Linked DNA regions of Saccharomyces cerevisiae S288C. The protein of the gene in region 2 interacts with the protein of the main gene of each other region in a biochemical or structural test. Each region holds a gene or a part of one and is shown on either strand. Other genes may lie near its edges. The genes, in order: JAC1, PAM18 and TIM17.

Region 1 (2,915 bases), on a different chromosome or scaffold from region 2:
GCGATGAGGAGACAAAAAAGCATCAGGTATTTAATGGATAAATCACCTCCAAAACTATTCCATCAACTATATAAAATTATCTCAGCGCGATGGTGAGAATGTTTGAATGCTAAAAAATGTTATACATTAGGATTGTTATTAGAATAGTGTGTTGAAGGCTCACATTTGCTCACTATATAAAATGACGGCTTTCATACAAGTTTCGAAGCCAAATAACCGTATCACGTCACAAATACGTTTCTTGACATTCGGAGGTTCGCTATAAAAGTTAATTAATGGTCGAATCCCCTCCGTTTCGATTTCGAAGAGAAATAGTCTTCCCTCCAGGTCAGTGATCTTGCCAGATTGCATAATGTCCAGCAATTCCCATAGCGGGAGTAATCCCGGCACCACATTAGGAATACCATTTGGAGCATGGCCATTGTGTTCTTTCAAATGGTAGATGGTATCTAAATCTTCCTCTTCGTACGGTATACCGTAAAGTTCTTTCAATTCCAATGCAGATTCATTTGCAGATTTAAACGCACACCCTCCCACACCGTATATTTCCTCAGCAATATTCTTGTACTTGACAACATTATCAGTGGGAAATCCCTCCCCTCTTCCGGTTTCAGAGTCAACGAGGTAGAGCTCCTTAGTAACTTTCGTCTCTTCTTCACCTATGACAAAGAGTTTGCCCCTAGAAATCATATCCTGAATGGGTTTCAATGGGATATATTTACTGTGACACACATCCAGTACTTCCGCACCATAGTTTGCTTTATAATTCATCTTCGGACAGTCCTCAATATAGTACCCCAGGTAATAGTATTGCAGATTTGTCCTTTGAATGATGGCAAGATCGCGCAAAGCACTGAGCTTCCCTAGGGACCATTTACTGTAGTCTGGATCCCAAATAAAATATACCGAAGATATACCACTGGGCAAGATATCTGACACAGTGATGGCAATTAATTTACCCTCATAGTAGTAGCATTCGTGCACAGGACCCATATGCTTCAGTTTCTCGCCTGGCTTCATTCGCTGCCAATTGTTTAACTGCTCCCATGATTCTTGTGTCCCCAACACCGCTTCAGGGCCAAAGGGCGTATCACATAGGAATCGCTTAAAGGACTTCGGCGAATTATTGTAGTCTTGATGCACTTTTTCCTGATATTTGACAAATAAGTGATACTTTTCTTCACTATAAAGTGCAGGCTCAAATCGGGTATAGAATGTTTTAGAATTCATCTCTGCATTAACAATTTTGCCCACAAAATCACTGCTTGCAACAGCGGCTGGGCAGTAGTCCTCACTTGTTATTCTAGTAGCAAAGCGGCTGATGCATTTTTTCAATTCCTTTGTCATATTCAATTCTTGAGGGGCAGTTCGAATGGTGTATAACCTACAACAATTCCTCAACGGGTCCACTTTATAAAGAAACTTACCAGACCTTCTAAATCCCATATTACACATGCGATCATACGTGGCTACATCCATATGTTCCACGAAAGAGCCAATTGTGCAGTTTTCAATCTTTACAACGTCCATTTTGTTCATATAACGATGAGCCCACGAATCCAATGCGAACAACTGATCCATGTTGCCCCCCTTATTACCGTGACAATACCCACACTTTGCGGCAGGTTCATTGTGCATCGAGGGAGCCCAAATAACGAATCTATCGGACATAATTGTGCTTCTTCTCAGTTGTATCTTGAGACTATCTTGTCTTTTGTAACAATAGCAATGAAACTCACAGCGTAATTCTTAACAATAGGTAAAAAAAAAACGAAAAAGAAAAGGAAACTAAAAAGATGATGCGAAATTAAAGGCTGAGGCTGATAATGGAAACAGGTATCAAGAAGCCCCACAAGCACAATGTTGAAATACTTGGTTCAACGAAGATTCACTTCTACATTTTACGAGCTGTTCCCAAAGACCTTCCCCAAAAAGCTACCCATTTGGACTATCGATCAATCCAGATTAAGGAAGGAGTATAGGCAATTACAAGCACAGCACCATCCAGACATGGCCCAACAAGGTAGTGAACAGTCATCAACTCTTAATCAAGCTTACCATACTCTCAAAGATCCCCTTAGAAGGTCACAATATATGCTAAAACTCTTGCGCAATATCGATTTGACGCAAGAACAGACCTCAAATGAAGTAACTACCAGTGATCCACAGTTACTATTGAAAGTTCTAGACATCCATGATGAATTATCCCAGATGGACGACGAAGCTGGTGTGAAGCTGCTTGAAAAGCAAAACAAGGAAAGAATTCAAGATATTGAAGCCCAGTTGGGACAATGCTACAATGACAAGGATTACGCCGCCGCAGTGAAGTTGACCGTGGAGCTAAAGTACTGGTACAACTTGGCCAAGGCATTCAAAGACTGGGCTCCAGGAAAACAATTGGAAATGAATCACTAAAGTACTCCAAAGTGGTAATAGTAATAATAATAATAGTGGTGATATAAAAACTGAAACAATGTAAATAGGTAAAGTACATATGTATATGGTAGGGCAAAGAGGAAAATAAATCAAGGGTTAAACCGCCGGTGTCTCGAACTCGCATTTGGCAAATTCTTCCCAGTCCTCCTCCGTGGATGGATATTGTCTCAACCACTTCATTCTAGGACCAGATACTGCCTCATCATTTATCCTGAACCCAAAAACTTTCAACTCGTAGGACTCTTTACTTTTCCTTTCCACATACTCTTCCAATTCTTTGAAATGTTTCAAGAACACACCAGGGAAGCTTGTCCCCCAAAATGCACCTTCTAAGCACAGGAATCTAGATGATTGGGGAAGATACAAGTCCTGACAACTGGGACAGTACAACCTTACGGTGTGTTTCCCAACTGTATCGCTCAACCCACAAGGCAGCAACTGCATGCCATTACAATAGTAACGGGGGCACGTTCCAAATT
Region 2 (3,180 bases):
AAACTACCCAAACATATAAATGCCTGAACAATTAGTTTAGATCCAAGATCCGTGCTTCCACCATTTAGTATGATTCATATTTTATATGATATAGGACAGTTAACATTCCTTGAATCAAGCTGATAATCCGTTTTGACAACTGGTTACTTCTCGAAGACTGTTTATATTAGGATTGTCAAAACACCCCAGTATTATTTGGGCTCGTAATATGATATAAATCAATAGTCATATGGCAACTTGGCCGAGTGGTTAAGGCGAAAGATTAGAAATCTTTTGGGCTTTGCCCGCGCAGGTTCGAGTCCTGCAGTTGTCGTTATTTTTTCTTTTTCTTTTTTTTTTCTCTGAAGCAGAGATGGAGAATAATGAATGCCCTTATTCTAGGACATAATTCACTATATTGTATTGGTTACATACAGCTCTATTTGCTCTTTTTAGAGAACTACGACAGTGTTATATGAGCCAGTTAGTTCTAGACTTAAAATGTTTGAAGGATAAAATAGCAACGAATTACGATATTCATAACAATGTTTACGGTGGAAACGGAATGGAACCAAACATTATTCATCCGTCCAAAAGATTCAGGATTGTTGTTCGATTAGTAGATTTCTTGTTCTGTAAATCGGATGAAGAATTCATTAAAGGTTTTTTCTGTCAAATGATAGTTAGAAATCTTCATTGCCTCAATTCAACAAATGGCGCAGAGGAGATGCGTTTGTATATGAGCGAAAGATTATTTTCAGCCCATAAAGATGATTTGAGATTGATAAATGGGCAGGTACTGGATGTTCGCATTGGGGTATGGTATGGAATACACCAAAGTCCGCCAATTTTTGAAATCATTGATTTTAAGATACTATCCAGGAATGACGTTCGTGATTTCTGTGAATTTGTCAAATCACCACTTGGTGAGAAGTTTCTGAACATCTCTAACTCCTAAGTCAGACGTTTGGCATATACTGAGATTATATAATACCTTTGATAAGAATGTAAGAGGACCCTTGAAAATAGTTATTGTAATGTTATGTAATGTAAATAATAGTATACAGGTGATTCTTATTTATCCCATGAAATAAGTATGAGAAAAGAAAGGAAAGAGGCAATTAGCCCGGTTCTGTTCTAACTAAAAAGCAATTTTCTTTGTATTTCTTCTTCTGTTCTTTAGCAGAATCTTTTGCTTTTCCAATTGTTCTTCCTCTTCCTCGTCACTGTCGATTTCCATATCCTCCTCTTCTTCTTCAGATTCCTCTTGTTCGGATACTGATTCAGCTCTTTCTTGTTCTTTAGCCAACTTTCTGGCAATTTCAACTTCTCTGATTCTCAATAATTCTGGGTTAGATTCGACCAATTTCTTATCTCTTAAGAAGTCCTTTTCTTTGTTACCTCTCATTCTATTCTTGTAGAAGGCTCTTTCACGTTTTTGTCTAATTTCTTCGATTCTAGCCATAGCCTTCAAAGTTGTGGCAACTAACTCTCTATTGTATCTAACAGGGACATTTCTTCTTTGGGCAAAAGTCAAGGTAGAATCCACAGCCAATTCTTTTCCGGCAGCCTTTCTGAAAGCTTTGGTCCATTTTAGTTTTCTTGGGTTACGACGTTGCTTGAATGCCTTGTGACACTTAGAACGGCAGAACCTAAACTCTTTAGCATCGTTACGCACAAACATGATCCCATGACCTGGATAACATGGGGATGAGCAAAAATGGCATTGATAAATTCTCATTTTTTTATACTTACTAAACTTCTACTTCCTTTTCCTTTTAGTTTCTGAATGTAAATCACGGGGAGGTGGTGGTAACAATATGGACAACTCACGCTTGAATAGCAATATCTTTCAAATCACAAGTCGAAGAACTTAAAAGTGGTATATCACGGATCAAGATAGAAACTGATGTAAGTTGGAGATAGGGTGGGATGAGATGAGATGAGTTTAGAAATACATTATTTAATAAAAGACGAGTGAAAATTTTTCACTCCGCTGAGTTCGAGGCGAGCGGGCAAAAAATTTAAAGAGCGAGAATCGGACCAAATGTGAAAGCCATTTGAATCAACGTAGGACTCACTCGACGGAGACCCTTGAACTAGACAAAGTACGAATAGTAGTGGAATTTGTACGTCTCCACTGGCCGAGCACAGTTTAATAAGGTTGCATAAACACTTCCACCCGCACAATATCATGAGTTCTCAAAGTAATACTGGTAATTCTATTGAGGCACCACAACTACCCATTCCTGGTCAAACTAATGGCTCTGCGAACGTTACTGTTGATGGAGCTGGTGTTAATGTCGGTATCCAGAATGGTTCGCAGGGTCAAAAGACCGGAATGGACCTTTATTTTGATCAAGCTTTGAACTACATGGGAGAACATCCTGTGATAACAGGTTTTGGGGCCTTTTTAACTTTATATTTTACAGCCGGTGCATATAAATCAATATCGAAGGGACTTAACGGTGGAAAATCCACTACTGCCTTCTTGAAAGGCGGATTTGACCCGAAAATGAATTCTAAAGAGGCTCTACAGATTTTGAATTTGACAGAAAATACATTGACTAAAAAAAAGTTGAAAGAGGTTCATAGGAAAATTATGTTAGCTAATCATCCTGACAAAGGTGGTTCTCCATTTTTGGCCACTAAGATAAACGAAGCTAAGGACTTTTTGGAAAAAAGGGGTATTAGCAAATAAGGTAAAACGGGAACCTAAAATGAGTTATTGCAATTGCATATATGCCTAATACAAGTGGTATAAACCTCGAACCGTGTTCAATCACATGCCGTTTAGGAGATTAAAATACTTCGGGCAATCAAATGTTTGTATAGATAAGTCTTGTAAATAACACGGAAAGCTATGTATTTTAGTTTAAATAACGTATACGCCCTCTGTGATTAGCGATGAACCGCAACGATCACAATTCTTGCTTACATGGGTAATATAATGCTTGAAACAATCAACATGCCAAATTTGAGACAGACTATTCTCTCCAGTTTCCTCATTCTCTTCTCGGCATGATTCGTTGCCGCACCTGACACCTTGAATTGCCAGCTTGTGGCAATTTTGGCAAGTGTTCAAATTGTACATGGATGTTAGATACTCTTCTAGTTCTGCTATACAGCGAAGATCAATACCGAATTTCCCTTCCTGAGTCCTGTAAAACCATTTCAGTTCGCATAATCGGAGTAGTAAGT
Region 3 (3,173 bases), on a different chromosome or scaffold from region 2:
TACATTGCAATTGTACCTCTTTTTTTTTTCCTACTTAGAATCCCAATCGTAATTAATTCACTAAATTAACATCCTTAAAATGAAATTCGACAATGACAGTGAGAAGCAGGTTTTCGATAAGCTTAAAAAAGCGATTCCTGGTATTATCAAGGAAAAATGTGCAGGATACGATGAATTGTATGGTTACAAGTTGAATCCTGAAGGTCTTACACAAGAGGAGGTTGATAAATACTATGACGAAAAAATCGCCGATCGTCTAACCTACAAACTTTGCAAAGCCTATCAATTTGAATATAGCACCATTGTACAGAACCTGATCGATATTTTGAATTGGAGGAGGGAATTCAACCCATTGAGTTGTGCCTACAAGGAAGTCCATAATACAGAATTGCAAAACGTTGGTATTTTGACATTCGATGCAAACGGCGACGCAAATAAAAAGGCTGTCACTTGGAACTTATACGGCCAACTGGTCAAAAAAAAAGAATTGTTTCAAAATGTGGATAAGTTTGTACGCTACAGAATCGGGCTCATGGAAAAGGGTTTGAGCTTATTAGATTTCACCAGCTCCGACAACAACTATATGACCCAAGTCCACGATTATAAAGGCGTCTCCGTGTGGCGAATGGATTCTGACATTAAAAACTGTAGCAAGACGGTCATTGGAATCTTTCAAAAATACTATCCAGAACTGTTATATGCAAAGTATTTTGTTAATGTCCCCACCGTTTTCGGCTGGGTTTACGATTTAATCAAAAAGTTCGTTGACGAAACCACCAGAAAGAAGTTCGTGGTATTAACCGACGGCAGCAAGTTGGGTCAATACTTGAAGGATTGCCCATATGAAGGGTATGGCGGGAAAGATAAGAAGAACAATCTGACCAAGCAAAATGTCACAAATGTCCATCCAACAGAATACGGCCTTTACATTTTACAAAAACAAATCATCGAGGACGTTGAGTGATTTGTTGGCATGATCTAATAATAGTCTCTTATATAAACCCTATAATAATTTCTTATTTTTGCCTTATATTCAGGTAAATCACCATCTAACTGTATTATCTCTCACGTATCTTCACTTATATGGCTCAGAAAACACCGTACGAAACGAAGGGGCTGCGAAAATGTTTCTAGAAGGTAATGGCAATAATAGGGATACAGATCGATCAGATCCGCCTATATAAAAGACAACGCACCGAAGGTGAACAAGATCGCAGATAAAGGTATTTACAAGGGAAAAAAGTCAGCAAAAACAAGAGATAAGATAACAAGAAGAAGATGTTAAGGAGGGAAACTTCAACAATATACAGGACACACAAAAAAAGCAACAGTAGTATACTCAGGAGCCAGCGGGACCAGACTAGAGTGGATTCCTTGGTAGAGGAGTCTCCCATGGGCGATTTCGGGATCAATAACCAGCCTACACAGCCTGGCGTGATATACTACTTTGTAGAGCTGACTAATTTAGGCATACAGGAAAACACAAGCAGTAATAATAACAACAACAATAATCATGGTGACGATGAAAACGGCAGTCGATACGGCCACGGCAGCAGTCTGGGTGGAGACGTTCACTCTCGCCGTTGTTCATGAACTCCAGCATTATAAAGCATATCTAACAATACCATTCGGGTTATACTGAATAGCCCACGCACGGGTTCGGGGTTGTAACGATTATATGCATTTCATAACATGCCACTGTCAGTGGCGCCACGGAAGGATAGCGGGACTTTATCAAATCATTAATTTCTGTGCATAAAGTGTATAGTATATTCATATAGATATGTATATATATCATTGAATACAGAAATCTTCGGGTGTATACAACGAACATTCATCGGACGCCTTTTTTACTGCTATTGTTCAACAAAGTGGGTAACCCGGCATTCTTGCGCCAAAGTTTCCATTTTTATGCCAAATCCAGAGGATAAAAGCACTATTCTCATCAAAAGATGGAAAAGCTGTGAAAGAGTCAAGTTCAGAAGAAAGCGTTAAGAAAAATAGAGTACACGGGAGCGTTATGTCAGCCGATCATTCGAGAGATCCATGTCCTATAGTCATACTAAATGATTTCGGTGGTGCTTTTGCCATGGGTGCCATTGGTGGTGTTGTTTGGCATGGGATTAAAGGTTTTAGAAATTCGCCATTAGGTGAGCGTGGTTCAGGAGCTATGAGCGCCATTAAAGCGCGTGCTCCCGTACTGGGTGGTAATTTTGGTGTGTGGGGTGGTTTATTTTCGACTTTTGATTGCGCTGTGAAGGCCGTTAGAAAGAGAGAGGACCCATGGAATGCTATCATTGCAGGGTTTTTCACTGGTGGCGCTTTAGCTGTAAGAGGTGGTTGGAGGCATACAAGGAACAGTTCGATCACGTGTGCTTGTTTGTTGGGTGTGATTGAAGGTGTGGGACTAATGTTTCAAAGATATGCTGCTTGGCAAGCCAAACCTATGGCTCCTCCTTTGCCCGAAGCACCTTCCTCTCAACCTCTGCAAGCTTAGGCATGTAGACATTATATGAGCCATTTTTTCATCGTTGTTGGAAGTACCCTTATTCGGCATGTTTTTTGTTACATAAATGACGTATCGCACTAGCCTCCTTTACGTTTTTACTTTATTTCAGCCTTTTATTTCAAGATTACCAACCATTTCTCTCAACCATGTACATATTATATATTGAAAAAGTACCATACTTCATCTCTGAAGAGAAAATATCAACAAGCCAAAAGCTAGTGCAGAAACTTTATAATGTTACTTTATTAATTGTAATGACTATACGTATAAGGAAAATTAAGAAAAGGCAAAATTCATATTTATTTAGTATATCATTATGGCACCAAGCCGTAATAAAATGAAATGGGTAGTTAAGAAAAGTCAGACAAAATAACGATTTATTCTTCGACAATGTGAAGTTTATTGAACGCGCTTGTTGGCCCTTCTTGAACAGAATGAGTAACAGCAAAATTATTGGAGATGTCGCCAGATGTATTCTCCTTCCTTTTACTGATAGCACCAATGTCGACGCTATCAGCACCACCAGTGGCAGAGCTAGGATTATAGACATAGTTGTGGCCTGCATTGTTACTAGAGTCGTTCGCACTTCCATATTCACTTTGCTGGCCTTTTGCATCGTCATGTTTTTCTGAAGGACCCGGTAAAGACGATCCTGGAGGAAACC

Evidence for each region.
Region 1: the proteins of PAM18 (region 2) and JAC1 form a complex in vitro, tested with the Saccharomyces cerevisiae proteins (one study listed by BioGRID).
Region 3: the proteins of PAM18 (region 2) and TIM17 form a complex in vitro, tested with the Saccharomyces cerevisiae proteins (3 studies listed by BioGRID).

Annotation. Positions count from the first base shown.
Region 1 is NC_001139.9:458,610-461,524, reverse strand, and holds JAC1 (J-type chaperone JAC1), read left to right. Parts: upstream 1-1,860; coding exon 1,861-2,415; downstream 2,416-2,915. Other genes in the region: ATE1 (arginyltransferase), read right to left, coding at 160-1,671; casein kinase 2 regulatory subunit CKB1, read right to left, coding at 2,533-2,915. UniProt on the Saccharomyces cerevisiae protein: Co-chaperone required for the assembly of iron-sulfur (Fe/S) clusters in mitochondria. Stimulates the ATPase activity of its specialized Hsp70 chaperone partner SSQ1, to mediate the transfer of iron-sulfur clusters from ISU1 to GRX5.
Region 2 is NC_001144.5:165,077-168,256, reverse strand, and holds PAM18 (Pam18p), read left to right. Parts: upstream 1-2,173; coding exon 2,174-2,680; downstream 2,681-3,180. Other genes in the region: TEN1 (Ten1p), read left to right, coding at 455-937; RLP24 (ATPase-activating ribosome biosynthesis protein), read right to left, coding at 1,121-1,720; Smc5-Smc6 complex subunit NSE1, read right to left, coding at 2,855-3,180. UniProt on the Saccharomyces cerevisiae protein: Essential component of the PAM complex, a complex required for the translocation of transit peptide-containing proteins from the inner membrane into the mitochondrial matrix in an ATP-dependent manner.
Region 3 is NC_001142.9:145,081-148,253, forward strand, and holds TIM17 (protein transporter TIM17), read left to right. Parts: upstream 1-2,020; coding exon 2,021-2,497; downstream 2,498-3,173. Other genes in the region: SFH5 (Sfh5p), read left to right, coding at 80-964; ROQ1 (Roq1p), read left to right, coding at 1,279-1,593; IRC9 (Irc9p), read right to left, coding at 2,739-3,131; serine/threonine protein kinase YAK1, read right to left, coding at 2,887-3,173. UniProt on the Saccharomyces cerevisiae protein: Essential component of the TIM23 complex, a complex that mediates the translocation of transit peptide-containing proteins across the mitochondrial inner membrane.